Diceros bicornis minor: one gene and its partners. The protein of the gene in region 2 purifies or fractionates together with the protein of the main gene of each other region. This does not show direct contact. Links are inferred from orthologs where the notes say so. Each region holds a gene or a part of one and is shown on either strand. Other genes may lie near its edges.

The links. The genes of interacting proteins can lie anywhere in the genome.
Region 1: the proteins of ACTL6A (region 2) and KAT5 purify together in Homo sapiens (affinity purification with mass spectrometry; 6 studies listed by BioGRID and IntAct, with this or other methods). This does not show direct contact. The link is inferred for Diceros bicornis minor from reciprocal best matches to the Homo sapiens genes ACTL6A and KAT5.
Region 3: the proteins of ACTL6A (region 2) and SMARCC1 fractionate together in Homo sapiens (co-fractionation; 8 studies listed by BioGRID and IntAct, with this or other methods). This does not show direct contact. The link is inferred for Diceros bicornis minor from reciprocal best matches to the Homo sapiens genes ACTL6A and SMARCC1.

Annotation. Positions count from the first base shown.
Region 1 is NC_080770.1:7,514,449-7,522,101, forward strand, and holds the start of KAT5 (histone acetyltransferase KAT5), read right to left. Parts: upstream 3,018-7,653; 5' UTR 2,823-3,017; coding exon 2,645-2,822; intron 2,321-2,644; coding exon 2,252-2,320; intron 2,161-2,251; coding exon 2,024-2,160; intron 1,764-2,023; coding exon of another isoform or gene 1,737-1,763; coding exon 1,581-1,736; intron 1,492-1,580; coding exon 1,417-1,491; intron 1,308-1,416; coding exon 1,233-1,307; intron 686-1,232; coding exon 437-685; intron 360-436; coding exon 270-359; intron 1-269. UniProt on the Homo sapiens protein: Catalytic subunit of the NuA4 histone acetyltransferase complex, a multiprotein complex involved in transcriptional activation of select genes principally by acetylation of nucleosomal histones H2A and H4.
Region 2 is NC_080754.1:43,459,492-43,466,441, reverse strand, and holds the start of ACTL6A (actin-like protein 6A), read left to right. Parts: upstream 1-3,893; 5' UTR 3,894-4,026; coding exon 4,027-4,051; intron 4,052-6,950.
Region 3 is NC_080741.1:49,080,757-49,087,888, forward strand, and holds the start of SMARCC1 (SWI/SNF complex subunit SMARCC1), read right to left. Parts: upstream 3,018-7,132; 5' UTR 3,009-3,017; coding exon 2,811-3,008; intron 1-2,810. UniProt on the Homo sapiens protein: Involved in transcriptional activation and repression of select genes by chromatin remodeling (alteration of DNA-nucleosome topology).

The DNA.
Region 1 (7,653 bases), on a different chromosome or scaffold from region 2:
CTGATAACCCACCCTTTGTTTATGACACTTAGCACACTGGCACCTAAGTGGCTGTTGGCATGTCTTTTCCCCACGGACTGTGAGATCCCAGAGAGCAGAGATTCTGTTGAATTCCTGGTTGTCTCTGTACCTCCCAGCACCTGCCCTATAGCAGGAACTCAATAAAAATGGGGAGAACTGCTCTGCTGGCCAGGCCAGTTAGTGTTTTCCTGAGCAGGAAGAAGCTGCCCATTTGATTTCCCCAGTGCCCGGTGCCCCTCAGCCCCTACCTTGTTCTTACGTCCATCGATCTCAAAGAAGGAGATGGTGCCCTTGCGGTAGATCTCGTTGCCTGGAGGATGTCGCAGGTCACACTTGGTCTGAGAAAGAGAGGGGGATCAGGGGTGGAGGGAGGGTGGGGGGTGCTAGGAGGGCAGCCTTGTAGGACGCCTCATACCAAGTGACGCTGCAAACACTTGAGGCTCCGGCCGTATTTGAGACAGAACTCGCAAAGGTAGAGGACAGGCAGCGTGGTGAGCTCCTGCGGATACGGGGAGAAGTACCACGGCTTGAGGCGGTGCCGGCCCAGCTCAATACACTCAATGTTCTTCATCCGGGTGACGATGTCGTCGTGGCTTCGGTCAGACACCAAGCTCCCGGTCATGCGCGGAGCCGACGGTATTCCATCTGAGCTGTCCTGGGAGTCCTGTCCAGGGCCAGTGGAAGATACTAGATTACAGGAGACAACTCAAGCAGGACACTTTACAGCTCACACAGCCCTCCCAGCGGTTTCCTTATTCAAGCCTAACAGCAACCCTATGGCAGAGGTAGTACAGTCCCCTTTCCAGATAAACAAACTAAGACTTGGGAAGTTTTCATTCAAAACTTGGAAAAGATCACCCAATGCCTGATCTGAACGAGCTCTGGCTGGTTCTTTTTTTTTTGCTGAGCAAAATTTGCCCTGAGCTAACATCTGTGCCAATCTTCCTCTATTTTGTATGTGAGTCACTGCCACAGCATGGCCACCAACGAGTGGTGTAGGTCCACACTCCAGAACCAAACCCGGGCCGCTGAAGCGGAGCATACTGAACTTAACCACTAGGCCACTGGGCTAGCCCCATCTGCCTGGTTCTTATTCCCACCAATACCGTAGTTGCCCACCACCCCTTGTTTATTTTTAAACTAGTCACTAAACACTCCACCCTGCCTGTGTCCTCCACTTTTCACACAGCTTCTCTCTTCCCCAGACCCACCTCATCAGTGCCCAAGCAATTCGATTTGCGCTTCCGTCCAGGCTGAGCTGCCACTGCCCTACGGGCTGATCCATTCTGCAGGCAAGATGGTAAGAAGAGAAAGAGTGGCTGTGAGATGAGCCTGAAAGGGGCCACCAGAGGGCAGAAGAAAGGCAGGGGAGAAGAGATGGTTTGGGGGACTCACCTGGGGAAACACTGAGGTCGGGGCTGTCTCGCTGGGCACTGGAGTTGCTGGTGAAACCACCTCCACCTTCCGTTTCTGTAGAGAGAAACCAAGAAAGGTGGGTCAGAAGGTAGAGAAGGTGGGACCTGAGAGGAAAGCAAGGTCCCTGGAATTGCTGAGGGTACCGTTGAGCGGTGGTTGGGCTGCAGGCAGGAGCTGGAGGAGAGCGGCTGGTCGGGCTCGCCACCGGGAATGGCCTCCCGCTCCTTGGGCAGGTTGAAGCGGAGTGTGATCTGGACCGGGATTGGCAAGGTCTTCCCGCTGGCCTGGGCGGAGGCCGGCTGTAGAGATAGGTCCAGGGTCTTCCTCTGGGGTGGGGTTGGCGGTGGGATGGAAAAGGGAGTAGGGGCCCCTCAGCGTGAAATGATTAAACCCCACCCTCTGCCCTCTCAAGGACATAGGAAGAGCCACTGGACTCGAAGCTACATCTGTAATTTGGCCCCTGTCCTTTGCCAGCTGAAGCCAGGGTGGGAGAGCACTGCCTCCTGCCCATCCAGGAGCCACTGAGGCCAAGAGATGAGAGAAGTAGGAGGCAGAAGAGAAGAGGTGAAGCAGGGGACCTACTCACCACCTCTCTCTCTGGAGAGCCGGGGCGGGACCCAGGAAGTCCGTTCTTGGTGGGGGTCTTGGCCTCCTTCTTGGGGAACTGGATCTTCTTTAGGTCCAGCCGCTCGTGGGTCACCCATTCATCCAGGCGTTTGTTGACTGCAGCAGTGGGGATGGCTCAGGAGGGAATGCCAGAAGCTGCCCCCCAACCCTACCCTGCAGCCCCGCCTCACTGCAGCCCAGAACTCACAGTCAATGTAATGGACGTAGAAAAGCTTCCGGCCACTGATGTCCTTCACGCTCAGGATCTCGGCCAGGGCTGTGGGAACAGCACAGACGGCGGCCTTAGACAGGCCTGGCCATAATGCTCCACCCTCCTACGACCTGAACTCCACCCCCAGGCCGAATCTCTAAGCCCCAGCACTTGGAAGCTCTCGCCCAAGCCCCCGTTAGTCACCAAGTGCCGCCCTCTCTCCAAGCCCCGCCCTGTCCATCCCGGAGCTAAAAGGCACGCCCCTCCTGAGTATCTGCGCCCCGCCCGCCCCAGGATTCTAGAGGCCCCTCCCCCTCCCGAGGGTTCGGTTGACTCTCTCCCGCCCCTCGCCCTTAGGTTCCTTAGCCCCGCCCACCCGACGTCACTCACGCCACTCATCTTCGTTGTCCTGGTTCCGCCGCAGCACGGGCAGGCGACAGCCCTCGATTATCTCCCCCTGGGGAGACAGCGCGGCGCCAGGGTCGGCTACTGGGGGGCCTCGGGCTCTACCCACCTCCCCTGGCTCCCTCCGCCCCGCCCCGGGCACCGGACTCACCACCTCCGCCATCTTCCCTCCCTCCACTGCCACTTCCGGCCCCTCTGGGAGACGTCACTTCCGGGACTGAGCGCGCTGTAGGCCTCGGCCTCCCAAAGACGCTTTGGAAGAGGACCCTTGGGAGACACCGCCGCCCAGGTGGAAGCAGGGAGCCGGTCTGCCTGGGTGGCGGGAGAATGGGGTGTTTTAAGTCTCGGGCCGGGTCTTGGGTGGAATCCCCATAACGTGCATAGCGATTGGAGGAAAGCTGAGTCCGTCACGTGACGCCCACCAAGTGCGACGCCGGTCACGTCGCTGCGGGTCACGTGCGACTAGTGTTTGTGCTTTGGGGGCGGCCGAGCTCGGGCGTCTCCTAGTGGCACTGGGAGGTCTCGCCGGGAGTGAACTGCGCGTGCTCGGCGGGGGGCGGGTCTGGAGGGTTTGGGAGGCTGGGGAGGTGGGCGGGACTGGGAAGGGACCTCAGTACCTGGCCAAGTTTATGGACTTCATTTCTTAGGGATGGAGACTCACGGAAGATTTCTAGGTTTGCTGTTTTGTATATTGGGTTTCTAATTTTAAAAGTAGTGTGACGTCATTCATAACGTTCAACAAATGTTTAATGGTCCCCTACCATGTGCCAGGCGCTATTCTAGGAGCCTGGAACACATCAGTGAATAAAGAAGCCTGCTGTCATGGAGCTTACATTCTTGGGGGTTGGAGGAAAAAGAGGGATATAGATAATAAACAATAAATATATTAAAAAGTAAATTATTTAGTTTATTAAAGAGTGATAAGTGTTATGGGAAACAAAAAAAAAAATGCGGAAATTAAGGGAGATGGGTAGGTAGATGGCAATTTTGAGTAGGGTGCTCAGGGCAGACCTGGATGGAAGTGTGTTAGTTGAGCAAAGGTTTAGAGAGGTGAAGGGATGAACTGTGCAGTTACCTGCGGGGAAATTGTTCCAGAAAAACAGACCACAGTAAGGGGAGAAAAGTATAACCTCAGATCATCAGGGGACGTGTCCACAGGGAATATTTTGGTTGAGTGTCTCTTAGACTAGGGGTGGGCAAACTATGGCCTGCAGGCAGAATCCAACCCTCTGCTGGTTTTCCTGCAGTCAATGGGCTAATAATGGTTTTTATGATTTTTAACGGTTGGGGAAAAATCAAAAGAATATTTTGTGACACCTGAAGATTATGAAATTCAAATTTCTACGTCCATAAATAAAGTTTTATTGGAGCTACCCCCTCATTTACATTTTGTCTATGAGTCCTTTCATATTAAAACAATAATCGTGCAGGAGATATGGCCCACAAAGCCTAAAATATTTACTGTCTGGTCCTTTACAGGAAATGTTTGCCAACCCTTGCTTTATAGACTGTTGTGCTGTCTGTTTAATAAAACAGAAGCTCTTACTGTGTGTACTGTTCTGTGACCAGCTTGTTCACTTAGCAACATAAATTGAACACTCGTCACTAAATATTCTATAGCACTGTTTTAATGGCTACATAATGTTTATTGTTTAGATGCACCCTGGCTGCCATTACCAATTTCCTGTTGTCGAATATTCGTTATTTCCAATTTTCTCCTCCTACAAACAGTGCCATAAAGAGCATCCTTAGGGCCGGCCCCATGGCTTAGCGGTTATGTGTGTGCACTCCACTGCTGGCGGCCCGGGTTCGGATCCCGGGTTCGCACCGACGCATGGCTTCTCCGGCCATGCTGAGACCGCGTCCCACATACAGCAACTAGAAAAATGTGCAACTATGACATACAACTATCTACTGGGGCTTTGGGGGAAAAAAATAAATAAAAAATTATAAAAAGCATCCTTATATACACAACTTTCCACATATTCATCCCAGCATGGTTTGCGTTGAAGATCTAAGTGGGGAATGACTATATCTGCATTTTAGAAAGATCACCCTCGTGTCAGTGTCCTTGGATTGAAGGAGATAAGACCAGAACAGGACCAATCGGAAGGCTGTTGAGATCGGCCATTCACTGATAACAGTCAGTACATGTTCATGCAGGGCCTGCTATGTATGGCAGTTAGCAAAGTTTCAGTCCCCGCCCCCTTGTCAAAGTCACCAGTGACCTGCACATTGTTAATCAAATGCCACTTCTCAGCCCTCTTATCAGTGGCATTTGGCATGGTTGGTCACTCCCTCTTCCTTGAAACACACTTTTCCTGGCTTCCAGGATACTGGCCCCTCCTTACAGTTTCCTTCCAACTTCCTTAGCTGCTCTTTGTCTCCTTTGCTGGTTCCTCTTCCTGTCCGTGACCTCTAAACATTCAGAAATCCCAGAAATCCCAGATGTTCAGTCCTGGACTTCATCTCTGTATCCACTCTCAGTCCATTCATGATACCCTGGAGGCATGATACCCTGGCTTTAAATATCATCCACATGCCAAGGTTTTTCAAATTTGTATCTTCAGCCTGGATCTCTTCCCTGAACTCAGCTCTCACTGTCCACTCAGCATCTCTATGCGGATGTCTAGAGGGCTTGTCCAAAACCAAACTCCTAATTTTCCTTCCCAACCTGCTCCTCCCACCATCTTTCTTGTCCCTATCAGTTTCTCAGACCAGAAACCTTGAAGTGCTGTGACTTCTCTGCTTCTCTCACATTCAACCAGGCGGCAGATACTCCAGGCTCCGTCGCTTCTTCGGCCTTCGCCACTACTACTGTGGTGCAAGCTACCACCGTCTCTCCTCAGAACTGTTGCAATAGCCTCATACATAGAAGCAAGAGGAATTGTTAAAAAATATAATTCAAACCATGTCACTCTGATGATCAGAATCCACTAATGGTTTGTCATTTACTCAGAGTAAAAGCCAAAATCTGTATATGGATCCAGCCCCTGTTGCCACTGCCTCTGCTTCTCCTTTTGTCCCCCTCGCTCACTACATTCTAGTCACACGGGCCTCCCAGTGTCTGGGACATAACAGGAATCTTCCTCTCTCTGCTCCTTTGCTGTTTCCTACCTGCAGCGTTTCTCTCCATTTATCCACTTGGCTTACTCCCTCACCTCATTCAAGTCTTGGCTCAAATGTCACCTTCCCAGTGAGGCCACCTCTGACCTCCCTAGTTAAATCTGCCCACCCCCCACCCACCGCATCTCCCTCCCCCTGCCCTTCGTTTTCCTACATACCATTTATTCCTAGCTGTCAAATCACATATTTTCCTTATTCACTTGTTAACTGTCTGTCTTTCCCTCACTAGAAGGTAAGATCCATGAACATGGTATTTATATTGTTTGGTCCAGTCCTATTTTCACAACTTCTCGAATACTGCCCAACTCATAGTAGGCGTTCAGTTAAAAACTGTCAAATGGATGAAGCACGTGGTCTCGCCGGGGAGCCAGACATTCCAGAAAGTGAGGATAGCAACAGCAAAGAGAGAAAAAGAGGAGAAAAAAACAACTGGTGCACAGGGCATCAGTCTTGCACCAGCATTAATTGAGCACCAACTGTATGCTGCACCCTGCAGGAGCAACTTGAGTGAAAACAGATGAGGCCCCTGCTCTAGTGGGACGAACAGGAACAGTTAACAAAACAAAGCAAAAGTAATCCCTCTGGATGGTGGTAAGTGTGGTGACGATGATGAGCAGTGTGATCTGGCCGAGAGTGAGGAGCTGGTCCGTGTGGGCCTCTCTAAGGGATGTCAATCAGATTCCCACTGCCCGCTAAGAGTCTCAGGATGCCCTGCTCCAACTGGCTTAATGAGGGAATGTCTTGGTCCACGTGACCCAACAATGTCACCAAGACACAGTTTCTGTCTTTCCACTCCCGCCTCCCCAGGTCTACCTTCCTTCTGCGTTAAGGTGGACTCCTCCTACGGTCGCAGGACAGCTGCCCACAGCTCTGTGGCCTACACGTGTCTGAGGAGAAAATCTCTTCCCCAGCTATGGAAAGAAAGTCCTGGGCTTCCCTCAGATTGAACCATTTTAGGGCATGTGCCTCTGCCTCAGCCAATCCCTGTGGCCAGGGGGATGGAATTCCACTGGTTTAGACAAACCAGGGCCCACCCGGAAGCCGGGGCAAGTCAGCGGCTGCAGCTGGGAGAGGATGGAGCAGCTGTTGGGAGGCAGCCAGGATGGCCACTGCAACAGATGACATGTGACCTGAGACCTGAATGATGAGGAGGGACAGCCTAAGAAGATCTGGGGGAGGAGTGTTCCAAGCAGAGGGAATGGCAAATACAGAGGTCAAGTTCAGCATGTTCCGGGAAAGAGAAGCCAGTGTGGCTGAGGGGGGATGATAATCCAGGAGTCAGAGAGCTGGCAGGGCCCCATCACGGGGCCCTTTATAGCATCTTTGTAAGGAAGTCAGATTTTGCTTTAAGTGCAATGGGAAGCCATTGGACAATTTGGAGCAGGAAAATAATGCATCTGATTAAAGCTTTAAAAGCTGTCTCAGGGAATGAGGGTTGTTGGGAACATGACATGAGTAGCAGGCTGAGGACAGCTAGAAAGTTCTTGCTGCCCTGAAAGCAAGGATCGGAGGTGATTGAAGATTGAGGTATGACCAAAAGCATGGTGAGAGAAAGGGGCCAGGCACGGACCAGAAGATGGGGGCCTGATCCTGTTGGGGATCAGCACTTCTCCAGCTGGGAGTCTCAGATCCTGCAGGAGGAGAATCCTTATTCCAAGAACTAATTGTCCCTTCAGAAAAAATGAATGTGGATTTCTGTTTTCCAAATGCACGTGCTGCGGTTATGCTTGATAAGATCCAAATCCATTGAAATGCTTGCTGAGTTCAAAATGGGGGTACAGGCTGCTTGGCAGAGGGTCCCAGGCTGAAGGCTTGGTATGGGAATGCTCAGCATGCACAGCAAAAAGGCCAGGAAAGTGCCTGCTGGC
Region 2 (6,950 bases):
GGTCTTTATCCTTTATCTCAGGAGTGCTTGCATGACTGTTATATTTTTGGAATGTCAGTACACAAAGGATAGTACTTGCAGTGACTCTTTACACACACACATCCACACAAAAATGTTTACATTGAAATTTGTTTTTCATAATTACTAATGTCATATTTTTTTGCAGCATGAAATAGAGTGATTCTAAATGTACACAAATTTTTGTGTCATTCTTCTTAATGATAATCCCCTGAATGTTTCCCAGCTGGCATTAATAACAGTTGCAATGTTTTTTCAACTCTGAACTTGATGAAGGCCAAGACAGAGGACAAGATCAGTAACATTTTGTAATGACTGCTGTGTTTCCACAATCTGAACAGAGCTGGTGAAAAGAGGAGGGGGCAGCATTACATGCATTCTAGTGCAGCGTTACAAGAATGGAAGACCAGCGACCCCGTGAGGCGAAACTAAGTGTTGCACTGCGTATACAGAGGAAATTCTTGATGCTGGAAGATTACAAAGGATTTCTGAAAGGGCACTTATTTTTATAGATCTGGATTCTGAGTCAACCACTGAGCATCTACTGGGGGCTAGATAGGTTTACATACATGTTACTTCAATATCTTTTATTTTTAGGTTGACAAACGGAATATGCTGGCTCCGGGAGGAAAGTAGCAAGCATTGATTGTTTTGGTATGTTATGCCCTTGAGAATTGACGCAGAGGCAGTAACCTTGAGTTGTTGTTGTTTTTAAATATGACTAGCTATCAGTAGCATTAATGTAGGCTTTACATTAATGAGCCAATAATGAGCCAAGACTTGGGAGAAAACATGTTAGGTTACAGAGGAGGAATATTAATACAAAAAAAACCACCCCTCAGATATTTTATATTTTATAAAGTAGATTCTGCTGGGTCAGTATTTTTCTTTTAAAATATTTTCTAGCATTTTTCCTAACTCTGAAGAATGGAAGAAAACAAGGTGCCATAGTATACGTCTTGCCTCAAAGGAAACATCACTGAGGATGCCAGTCCCCGACATTGTTCTCTTAGGATGCTGAATACGTTTCCTTTCTCAACAGTGTCTTCCTCCAGCAATTCAATACTTTAGGGTCAATAATCTTAGCGCCCTATTACATCTTTTGCTGATTAACATTTATGAGAGGTTTAAGTGTGCACTTTTATCTGCATTAACATGTGATTAGTCCTGACATATCAGATGTACTCTGAAGTTCATTTCATTTGAAGTTCATTTCAATGGTTTGTTATTAAATAAAGTAATGTGTTCAATAACACATCAAGAGAACAGCTGACCTGAAATTATGATTGAATGAATGATCTGTTTTCTAATATCTTTCCAAATTATCAAATGAAGCAAAACCCTTCCTTTAAGCAAAAATATTGAAGCCTGACTTTCCAGTCTTTTCTCAAGCTGTCTTCTTTGTGCTGTCAGACTGAAGATTCTCGGCACTCCAGTGTGTTCTCTGTGGGAGGAGTCAGTCGCAGCATCTCAAGCCTTCCTGAAGGCTAGGCGTGTGGTCCTCATTAACCCCACTGAACTGTTTTGTTTTCTGATGAACTCTGAACTAGTGGGACAAATGTTTTACTCTTTTTCAATCCAAATATATCTTATTTCTCCATGCACAGGAGATTTTGGAGATAGTACTGATGAGAGATATTAATACATATAATCTAAGTTGCTATATATGAATTACTATGCATTTAAATGGTAAATTGGTTTAAATGGATTACTGTGTATTATAAACACAAATAGTATCTCTTCAATATTTAATTATTACCAAAGTATCACATATTTTAGAACTCATCAGCTTTATTAGTCAAACACAACAAAAAAACATGGAGTGGAAGGGCCGGCCCTGTGGCCTAGTGGTTAAGTTTGGTGCACTCCACTTTGGCAGCCCAGGTTCAGTTTCCGGGTGTGGACCTAACACCACTTGTCAGTGGCCATGCTGTGGCAGCAACCCACATACAAAATAGAGGAAGACTGGCACAGATGTTAGGTCAGGGTGAATCTTCCTCAGCAAAAAGAGAAAAACCAAAAACATGAAGTGGAAATAGAAATATTTTGGGGGTTTGATATGTGCCTACAGTGAGAGCTATAATCATGGGGGCAACAGTTAACACAGAGCACTTGGTGCACTGTGCTGGACGTGTTATATGCATTATCTCAGGGTGGGTAATCGCTTTCTATAAGGGGTCCAATAGAAAATATGTTCTTCAACTTAGTGTGCCACATGGTCTCTGTCATAACTACTCAACTCTGCCCTTACAGAGCAACAGCAGCCATAAATGAATAAGCTTGGCTGTGTTCCAAGAAAACTTAGTTTATGGTCACTGAAATGTGAATTTCATATAATTTTCACATGTCACAAAATATTATCCTTAAAAACATTCTTAAAAACCATTTAGGGCCAGCCCCCGTGGCTTAGCAGTTAAGTACATGAGCTCTGCTGCTGGCGGCCCCGGTTTGGATCCTGGGCGTGCACCAACACACCGCTTGTCCCGCCACGCTGAGGCTGCAGCCCACATACAGCAACCAGAAGGATGTGTAGCTATGACATACAACTATGTACTGGGGCTTTGGGGGAAAAAAATAAATAAATAAAAATTATAAAAAAAAAAAACATTTAAAAATGGAATAACCATTCTTAGCTCCCAGGCCATAAAAAAACGGAAAGCAGGTTGGATTTGGCCCTGAGGCCATAGTTTGCTGACCTTTGCATTATGTCACTGGGTTAATGGGGATTTCCTAAATGATCAGATATACTGAGATTATATTATTAAATGAATGGAGGTTTTCTCACTAGCCTTGTTGCCCACCTTACTATCACTTTCTACTAGCTGCTGGCACCACGATGAATCCGGCTTTATTCAACTGTTCCTAGATTAAGATTAAGAGGAGCCTATACGGTATGTTTAGACTCTAGACAAACCATTTAAGAACTGCTATCAACAACAAGGATATACAACCAATCTTAAGGATTTGAGTTGGAGTGACATGACCAGATTTGGGTGTTTTTATAGATCAAGCTGCTGCCTGCCGCTGGCCAAGAGGCAAAGGGACAAGCCATTGTAGTCATCTAGCAGAGAGACACCGGTGATCTGGACTGGGCTGGGAGAAACGGGGAACTAAGAACAGTAGACAGACTGGGGATGTATTTAGGATTGGGTACTCGCTTGGATGATTGATTACACTGTTTTATGCCTGTCTCACAGGCTAAAATAAATTGATCACACCTTTAAAAATAATTTTTAAAGTGCTACCTAAATTTAGTTGGGATAGCGTATCATCCTTTTCTTCTTTTAATTATTAATAACCATTTTAAAAATTACAAGATCCTATCGGTTTGTCTGATTTACCGATTCCTCTTACCCCAAAATGGAGCATAACATTTCAGTTTCTTCAATACAAAAGTTAGTTGAAAACACTTTCTCTGAAAAAAAAAAATTCTGCATTCACCGCAATCCAAAACCAGGAATCACTGCGTGGAGACACTCTCTCTCAATTTCCTGACTCCGTTTTGCAGAGGTTCACCTTCGTCCACCAGATCCCCACTGGATTCCCATCTCTCCTCCTCGCCTCAGCCTTACCCTTGGGTCCGCCCCCGTCACTTCCCTCCCTCCTCCTCCCTCTCCCGCTCCCTCCACCCCACTCTCCCACCCACCTGGGAAGCTCCGCCCCCCTCCAGTTCCGCAACTCAACTCCTTTTCTCCTTCCGTCGCTTTCCCCTCTCCCCGCCCCCATGGCTGCCTTCGATTGGGTAAACTGGCTGTGCCGCGACAGGGATGCAGCACAGCCTCGTTCTGATTGGCTGAAGCGTAGCCGGTCCTCTAGTGATTGGCTGATAAGCGGAGACAGCAAGTGTGACTGCGCTCTGGGGCGTGTGGACGCTGCTTTGTTGCCGGAGCAGGGTAGCGGTGGAAGTTAAGGGGGTCGGGGGCTAGCGCTTCTCGGGGCCCACAGTCGCGGCCGTTGCAGTCACTTCGCCCGGTAGCCTGTAGCGTAGGAGTCGCGCCGAGAGCAGCCATGAGCGGCGGCGTGTACGGGGGAGGTGAGTGTGCGGCCGGACGAGAGAGCGCGCCTTTTTAACGTGTAGGGTTTGTAACCGCCGCCCCCAGCCCTCCCCTCCCCGGCGGCCCCTTCCGGTCTCCCCCTTTCGGGACCCCGGCCTCCCCGCCCCATCCCCGCCCCGCGCTCCGCCCGGCCCCGGAGCCCACCCGGCTCAGCGAGCGCCTCGGGCGCCCGGAGTCGCCGCCCCCTGCGGCTCCTTCCAGCCTCGCCCCCCGGAGGAGCAGGGGTTCGGGGGTGCGCGCCGCCTCGGGGCTGTGTTGGCAGCTCCATCCAGGGGGCCGGCCCGCTGAGCCCCGGCTTGAGTGACCGGCCCCAGGTCGCGTCTCTCCCAGTGTCTCCATCACTCGGCTGTCGGGGCGCGTGCGCGCGCGTTTAAACTTGGGAGGTCCCAGCACTTAGCAAGCGCGGACGGAGCGTTTCCGCGCCGTCCCGTAGACGGTAAAGCGAGCGCGGGAGGTGGAACTGGTCGGAGGAGCGGCGGCCACTGAGGACGCAGCCTTTTGTCCGTCCGCCCCCGGCTTCACACCTTCCAGTAACTTCTGCCTGTCTGTTGAGTGTGGCTTCTCCAGAGTTACTCGGGGGCGGGTTTGTTCGGATTAATTTAGGAACGCAAGTAATTTAAGGATGCTTTCCTTGGATAGGCAGTGGTGTGATAGACAGATTACTACGGGCCTGGGAGTTACACAGACGTGGTTGTAATACCAGCCTCCCCGTTTGTTTAGCGCTTTGGCCTCGGGCAAAGGCCAAGTTAAGTTACTTAACTTTTCCCAACTTGAGGCTCCTTATTTTTGGAATGATGGTTCCTACCCAGTGGGGTGGTTGCGAAGGTTAAGTGAGATGATGTTGGTCCATGGATCAACGGTGTCAGCATCACCTGCAAGCTTTTCGGAGATGCAGCATCTCAAGCCCATCTCGAAATCTACTGAATCAGAGCCTCCGGTTTTGCGAGATACCTAGATGAAGCACCGATGTATTTGATTCGTGTTTTGTGTTGTGTTTGATGAGTTACAGAACAAGGAGACAAATCCAAAGTGTTGCTTTTGTTATTGTGTCTAGTAAGGATACTGTTTCGGAAGAGGATGGCATTTTATAGGTAGGAGATAAAAATAAAGTTTTCAAAGTTGTTAGTAGTCTTTAGAGTGTAGCTTGAGTCTCTTCTGAGGTGAGATGCTGACGCTCACCCCCTCCTTCGCGTTAGTGTTCTTGGGTTTGATTTCTCAAATGTGAGAGTCAGTAGTTTCCCATTTTTACTTTGGAGAAAGCCTAGTGGATCTCCATGATTTCCCTCTTCCCCATCTGAGATGCAGTCCTGACAGAAAAACTGGATCTACGTGCCTTTGCCTCATGGGGGCCGTGGGCTCTACTGACCTGCAGGTTCCCTGATCCAAGCACCTAGAGGCTGTCTATTGAGTATTTCCTTACAAGGCCTTGTTTAATATGACTGAGGTAGAAATGGGTACGAATAATGCCAGCAGCTAACGTTTATTGATTGCATGCTGTGTACCAAGAACTGTTCCAGAGGCTTTTCATGGAATTTATTTAAAACATACATTAATTCAGTTAATCCACAACAACCGCAGGAGATGGTACTACTATTCCCATATTATTGAAGAAGAAAACGAGGTATAGAAAAGATCAAGTAACCAGTCCAAAGTTATATAACTTTCTAGTAAGTGGGGAGTAAGAATCTCTGGGAAGATGAAAAGGCATTTCAGTAAAACTGTTTCCCATTTAAAAAAAAAAGGTTTTTGGTTTCTCCATAGGTCATTTTTCAAGCTTTTAAATAGATTATAAAAGAAACCAATTATAATAAAATATAGTTCTATGCTTGGACTCCTTGGGGAGGCCAGAGACCCCGCTCCTAGTTTACCCTTTCTTAGGTAATCTGCTCCGCTCCTACAGCCCCAACTTCTATCTAAATATTAGTAATTCCAATCTCAAATCTCTCTCTCAAGCCCTCACCTTTGTCTAGAGCCATATCTCGGACTTCTTATGTACATCAACATCAGTTCCACCTGAAGTCCCATGGGTACCTCAAATTCGACATATCTGAAGCACTGTCTTCTTCTCCCTGTCCTGCCCAACCTGATCTCAGCAGGGCTTATTACAGTGAGTGTCCCCAGTCATCAGAGGCACAAACCTGAGAATCGTGAATGCCTTCATGTTTCATACCCTTCATCAAGTTCTGCCAAATATTTCTGCTAAATATTTCTTTTTTTTAAGTTTTTTTTCCCAGTTTTATTTATTTATTTTTTATTTTTTTGTGAGGAAGATCAGCCCTGAGCTAACATCCATGCTAATCCTCTTTTTGCTGAGGAAGACCAGCTCTGAGCTAACATCTATTGCCACTCCCCCTCCCCCCCCCCCCCCACAAAGCCCCAGTGGATAGTTGTATGTCATAGCTGCACATCCTTCTAGTTGCTGTATGTGGGACGCGGCCTCAGCATGGCTAGACAAGCGGTGCGTCGGTGCGCACCCGGGATCCGAACCCGGGCCGCCAGTAGTGGAGCGTGCGCACTTAACCACCAAGCCACGGGGCCAGCCCTCTGCTAAATATTTCTGAAATTCCTTCCTCTTAAACACCATTGCCACTGCCTTGATTCAGACTCTTAACAGGGAACTACTACAGTTCCCTACAGGTATTGTGCTTCTGTCTCTTCACCTTCTCAATCCACCTTTCAAACTGCTGCACTGTGATCTTTCAAAATTGTAACTGAACATTAAAATTGTAACTCTGAACATTTTGGTACATAAATCCTTCAATGAAAAGAAAGAGGAGAATCATTCAGTGGTTTCTCATCATCCACAAGATAAAATTCAAATCATTCTACCTAGTTGATATTCAAGGCCTAGCATAATGTGGCAGTAGTCTCACTTTC
Region 3 (7,132 bases), on a different chromosome or scaffold from region 2:
TACTAAGAGCATTTAGAAAACAATACAAAGAAGTTCTCTTTTAATCTGAGATGACCTGGATTTTACAAGTAAGTGTCTATATCTATCTTTTCCACCACATTGTGACTTCCTTAAAGAGAGAGATTATGTGTAGCAATAAAAAAAAAAAATTGGGGTTTGGAGCTAGACAGACCTTCATCTAACCCCGTATCTACCACTCCTAACTGTAATCTTAGAGAAGTTACTTAAATCTGGAGCCTCAGGTTCCTCTCACGTGTAAAATGAAGTAAATAACATCTATTCAGGAAATAATATCAATACCAAATACCAAATTGATATCAAACAATATCAATATAATATTATTCAGGACTGTGGTGAGGATTTGAATTATGCTTTAAGTGCCCAGATATGGGAGATGTTCAGTTGCTCATGAAATGTATGGACAAACCCATCAAAAAAAATGCGACTGCCAACGTCATGTTTCTTTCATATGGTCGCTGAGATGTATGATTCTGAAAATGAAGTATTAGATGCAATAGAAAAGTTTAGTTAAAACCCATCAATCTCGGGCCGGCCCCGTGGCTTAGCGGTTAAGTGCGTGCGCTCCGATGCAGGTGGCCCGGGTTCGGATCCCGGGTGCACACAGACACACTGCTTCTCCAGCCACGCTGAGGCCGCGTCCCACATACAGCAACTAGAAGAATGTGCAACTATGACATACAACTATCTACTGGGGCTTTGGAGGAAAAATAAATAAATAAATAAAATTTAAAACCCATCAATCTGTACACCAAGTAGAGATATACTGTGTACAAAAGAAGCAAAGAAACTTCTGGTTAATACTTTCACCACTCCAACACCACTCTCAGAGGCTGACAGGATTCTAGCTGCCAGACTTAAGGGATATACAATTCTGAATTTGAGTAGGCCCAAGAAATATACTCTGGCTTTATGAAACCCTGAGAAGTCAAACCTAACTTTGTCTTTAAGGCCTTAGCGACACTAAGCCAAGATTAGCCTACTGGCTTCAACACTCTGGAACATATCCCTCAGTCAGCCTCACAGCCACTTCTTCACCCACCCAAACAAATCTCGGAAGGCTTATCCAAGCCTAAAGCTGACCTCTTAAAAAACTGGGCCCAAAGAGATGCACACGGAGTTTGGAGAGATAGAAATGACTATTATTTCCTTTTTCTTTTCCATTCCTTGATATCCAAAGGAATATTACTCCTGAGTATTTTTCTTTGTTAAAGCTATATTGATAAAGTAATACAATATTACATGTCAATTATATCTCAATAAAAGCAGGGGAAAAAAATCCAGACTGGGGGAATAAAAAAACTACATTAAAGTACATTGAATTTAAGACCCAAAGCATTGGCTGAAAGGCACTTGACAAAAAATAATTAATACTTTTAGAATATAAATATATTCAAGTCCCTTAGCCACTTCCAGAAGCTCTACTGCCTACACAAAAAAGTGACCAATATATCACTGTACAAGGAAGAGCAATATTCCTGTCTACTTACATGTAGAGGAGAAAAGTCTACAGTCCCAAATGTGACTCCAAAATTTCAGGGGGAAAAAAGTCAAAGCATCTAAAAATACATCGTAAGTAAAAATATATGTTGTCTCTCACTTCCTAAAACTTCAGGTAAGAATAGTCATTTCTTAAAGTGTAATGTCAAAGGAACCTAAGATTCCTGTCCTTGTCTACTTCCAAAAGTTGGCAGGCTTCACTGAACTGCAGACCCCAAATGAACAGGTTCCTAGAGTACATTACCTTTTCATTCATTCAACAAATATTTACAAAGCAACTACTAAGGGCGAGGCAATGAGTACCAACCATGTTCCAAGACACATTGTAGTGAACAGGCCTGACAAGGTCCCTGTCCCAGTGCCACCGTCTTCAATGGGGGAAGCACAGAACTGAAAAGGGTGTTCCAGAAATTTGGGGGCAGAGGGAAGTATTTTCGGCTGTCTGCTTCATTACACCTTCTAAGGGAGTCATTCCTAAATATTTACATGAAGAGGAAGTTAAGAAACATTTGTTATAAACAAGAGGTTAAGTCACAACTTTCAATACCACTGACTCAGCAGAACTTACATTCCAAAGGTAGGAGAAACAGATAAAGCAAAAATAATCTCAAAAAGTGGTACAAAGAAAATAAAGGTGATATGAAGTGGGGTGATCTACTATAAATGGGGTTCTCAGGGAAGGCCTGAGAAACACATCAGGTACAAGTGAACACTAACTCTTCTACTATCACCAATCATAACCAAAAGTACTATGAAGTAAAAACCGTCGCTTTATAATATTAGCTCTCATCAATACTATAATTCATTATATTAACTTGCTGTTATTAACTTCCAAGTACAATCGTTCACAGTCCTTTAGCAAATCAATAACAGGTAGTAAAATCTTAGCTTACCTGACTTCGAAGACTAGTCTCTAAACAAACTTGAAGCTGCTTTTACAGCTCCGGCTCAGACAGTTTTTAATAATCACTGTTCACACACCTAATGCAGCTAACAAAAGAGAAAGATTCCGAGCCTCCGGGTTGCTGAGGTCGACCTGTTCCTACATACTGGGGTGAGCAGGGGCTTTCGCCCGGGGTGCGTGGGCTCCAAGGAGACGAGCCGCGGGAGCTCCGGGGAGCCCCGGGCCGCGGGCGCCCAAAGCGGACGGCGGGGGCGTGGCGGGCCCCGCGCCGGCCTTTGTTGTCCCTCGTGGCGCGCGGGGGGAAGGGCGGCCGGAGGCCCGCGAGGCCAGTAGCCGCCCCCGGGCCCCGTCGCGTGGCCTCCCGGCTCCCACGGGCGCGCGAACCCACCTTCTTGTAGTGCTTGCCCAGCCAGACCCGCACCGCATCCAGCTGGGACACCGTCTCCGGGCTCTCCCAAAACTTGCTGGCCGGGCCCCCGTCCTTCCGCCGATAGACGGCCAGGCCTGCGGCCGCCGCCGCTGCGCCTCCCGCACCCGCAGCGCCTGCCGCCGCCCCCAGCCCGCCGCCGCCCACCGCCGCGGCCATTCTCGCCGTCCGCCGTCCCCACCACCCAGCCCACCCCGGCCCTCGCCGCGTTCCCCGTTCGCACCCGCGCGCGCGCGCAGCTGCCACCGCCGCTTCCCGGCCCCGCCCAGCCAACCCCCTTCCGGCGCGGAGGCCCGACCCCGCCCCCTCTCGGGACCGGCGCCCTAACCGACGAGGGCACGCGCACACGCATGCGCAGTGCTCGCGCCAGGCGGGCCTCGGGGGAGCGCCTCCACCCGCCTCTTCCGCCATCTGCGGCGGCTTGCTCGACCTCTCCGCTGCCGAGCCTCCGCCTCTGCGCGTCTGGCTGTTTCCGGGGTTCCTGCGTCGGATCGTTGGCGGTCAACAACTGCATGGAGGTTCCCTGTCATCGGCTGCCACTGCCGGAGAGAAAAGGGCTGGTGTGAGAAGTTCCAGAGAGAAAGCCCGTTTAGGGTGTCGAGTGGCGGCAGAGGAACCCGCGAGCGGGTGGGAATGTGCGCCTGCCCTCGCTTACCCATACCTTCTACACAAAGTGGCCGTGTCAGCCTTTGTAGTCACTCACCTGGGACTACCACTCGGAGCTTCTTCGGCCTCACAGCCTTTCTGCCCCTCATGGCTCTAGCCGCACCAGCTCATTCCTGCCTCGGAGCCATCGCGCCAGCTGTTCCCGCGACCTGGACAGCTCTTCCCCTCTAATTGTCACTTAGGCGCTTTCAAATTCATAGCTTAAAGGTACTTTAGAAAAGCAAACCCTGACCATACAATCTTGAACAGGTAGTCATACTCACTGGACATTCTCTATGTAGCACTTACCACGACCTAGTATTTTTCTTTTCTTACTTATCGTCCACATAAATTAAATGAGAACTTAGTCTTGACTTGTTCACAGACGTACCCTCAGTGCTGGGAACAGGGCCTGTTATCTAATACATGTTCAATAAATATTTGATGAATGAATGGATGACGTACACAGGCAGAAAGGTTATAAATTATTAACGAAATATGATTGCCAATTATGAAGTTATGAACATAATGCTATATGACCCCAGAACAGCACGTGACTAATTGCTTGTGAGAAAGCCTGGTGAGTTTTTGAGACCAACTTTTAAGAGTGAACAGAATGTGATCAGGGAGGAAAGGACATTTCACACACATGAAAACAAGTGGAACAAAGGGTAATGCGCAAGTGTGAAAGCATGCTTGGTGCAACTCTCCATAAGACCATGGGATGGAAGCAGAGATGTTACTTGGTTGTGGCAATGATTTTGACTTTATCCTGTAAGCATTGAGAAACCATCTTGAACAGAGAGAATGACATGATCAGATTTATAGATTACGAAGATAATTGCAGCAGTGTGAATGATAGGAGGAAGAAAGAATAGAGAAAAGATGAACTGGTAACAGTCTAGGACAGAAACAATGAGAATGTAAGTAAGATATGGATCTTGCCCTCTAAGAGCTCAGACTTCAGAAATAATGATAATAGCGGGTGTCATGGAACACTGTGCCATGCTCTGTGCTGAGTACACCTACATTACTGCAGATAAGAAAATTGAGGCAGAGAGAGGTCAAGTAACTGGCTAGCAAATATATATTAGAGTCAGGTTTTTGAACTCAGGAATTAGATCCTGGAGTACTATTCCCCTCTCTTCCCAAGGACAATGTTTTCTACTAATAGTGTGTGAGTAGAGCAAAGAAACCACACTGGAAGAGTTCAGAAAGCTATTTCATTTTCTGGAGCCATTAGATCCTCCAGGGTGGTGTTCCAACATTTTTGTTCAAAAAAATTCTAAAATAATTTGGAAAACGATATACTTTCTTCTTTTAGAAAAACATCTAAAATTTTTCATCAAAAATTAAATAGTTGAAGGGCCCGGCCCGGTGGCATATCGGTTAAGTGTGCACACTAGGCTGCGGCGGCCAGGGTTCGGATCCACGGCTCTCACTGACGCACCGCTCGTCAAGCCGTGCTGTGGCTGCGTCCCATATAAACTGGAGGAAGATGGGCACGGATGTTAGCCTAGGGCCAGTCTTCCTTAGCAAAAAGAGGAGGATTGGCAACAGATGTTAGCTCAGGGCTGATCTTCCTCACAAAGAAAAAAAATACTTGAAGAGCATATTAATAAAGACGGACTTTTGTTTTTTGGCAGGGAAAGATCCACCCTGAGCGAAGATCTGTTGCCAATCTTCCTCTTTTTTTTCCCCTCCCCAATGCCCCAGTGCATGGTTGTATAACCTAGTTGTAAGTCCTTCTAGTTCTTTTATGTGAGCTGCCACCACAGCATGGCAACTGATAGACAGGTGGTGTGGTTCCGCAACCGGGAACCAAACCTGAGTGGACAAAGTGGTGAGAGTGGCAAACGTGAACCACTAGGCTATCAGGGCTGGCTCAAGATGGACATTTTTAAATGAAATGGTTCCATCACTTTTTTAAGTTTTTATTTTGAAATAATCTCAAACTTACAAAAAAGTTGCAACTACAGTAAAAAGAACTTTTTCTTTTCCTGAACCATATGTGAGTATATTGCTGACAATCATGTCCATCGCTCTCAAAAATGTTAGTATTTCCTACAGACAGGTATAACCTCTTACATAATCATAACAAAACCATCAACACCAGGAAATTAACTAATACTATCCTCAGATCCCTTTCGAGTTTTCTTCTTGCCCCTATAAGGTCCCCTTATACCAAAGTTTGTTCAGAATCAGGCATTGCATTAGATCAAGTTTCAAGTCTCCTTCAATCTGGAACAGTTCCTCAGTCTTTAACTTGCACCCCATTGACAACTTTGAAGAATACAAGCCAGTTATTTTGTAGAATGTCCCTCAGCTTGAGTTTGGCTGATGTTGTTTATGCTGTGTTCTTTTCATTGCATACAATCAAATGGTGCATGATTTCATTTCTTCCATTACTTAGATGACTTGATGAAGAGAGTATCTGCCAGGTTTCTCTACTATGAAATTATTCTTTTTGCCTTTGTGATTAATTACTATTTTTCTGGGGAGGTATTTTGAAAGTATGTAAATATCCCATTCCTCTTCAAACTTCCCATTTATTTTTATCAGACCATTTAACATTTTTATCAAATGGTTCAAAACTTGACTGAATGCATATTTGTAACTTCTCTAACAAGGAGAAATCTGGCTGCCATTATCCTTACTATATTTACTTATTTTATCAGTTCACCTATATGTAACCAATCTCCATGCTGGACTACCCTCCCATAGAGGTACCCTCCACTCTTCTTGGCTCCTACAATCCCATGCTAAGCTGTCCTAATATGCTTATATCTACCTTGTTCACTCCACCTAATGACTTTAGGACTGAATTGTTTGGGAAGAGATGGTAGGGGAATAGGAAAAGCAAGAAGACATCACTCTTAAACCTAATGAAGTCTAGGGGCCGGACCCGTGGCGTAGCGATTAAGTGCGCGCGCTCTGCTGCTGGCGGCCCAGGTTCGGATCCCGGGTGCACACCGACACACTGCTTGTCAGGCCATGCTGTGGCGGCATCCCACATAAAGTGGAGGAAGATCGGCATGGATGTTAGCTCAGGGCCAGCCTTCCTCAGCAAAAAAAGAGGAGGATTGGCATGGATGTTAGCTCAGGGCTGATCTTCCTCACACACACACAAAAAAACCTAATGAAGTCTAAATATGTAATAATTTGGTGGTCATAGTAGAATACAGAGAGTTCTCTCTTTGCACAGGAGTGCAATACCATAAAAATGACTGTGCAAGGGGCTGGCCCAGTGGCATAGTGGTTAAGTTTGCATGCTCCACTTCAGTGGCCCGGGGTTCACAGGTTCAGATCCCAGGCGCAGACCTATGCACCACTTACCAAGCCATGCTGCAGCAGCATCCCACATATAAAGTAGAGGAAGATGGGCACGGATGTTAGCCCAGGGCCAATCTTCCTCAGCAAAAAGAGGAGGATTGGCAACAGATGTTAGCTCAGGGCTAATCTTTCTTACCAAAAAAAAAAAAAAAAAAAAGACTGTGCAAGCAGAAACTGTGCAAAGCAAAGCTAATAATCAATGGGGAAAATTACAATTATTCCATGGCCTTTAAATTCATTTATCAAAACATTAAGAACCCTATAAGTTATAAATGTATAAGGAAATGGATATAGAAAATTAAATT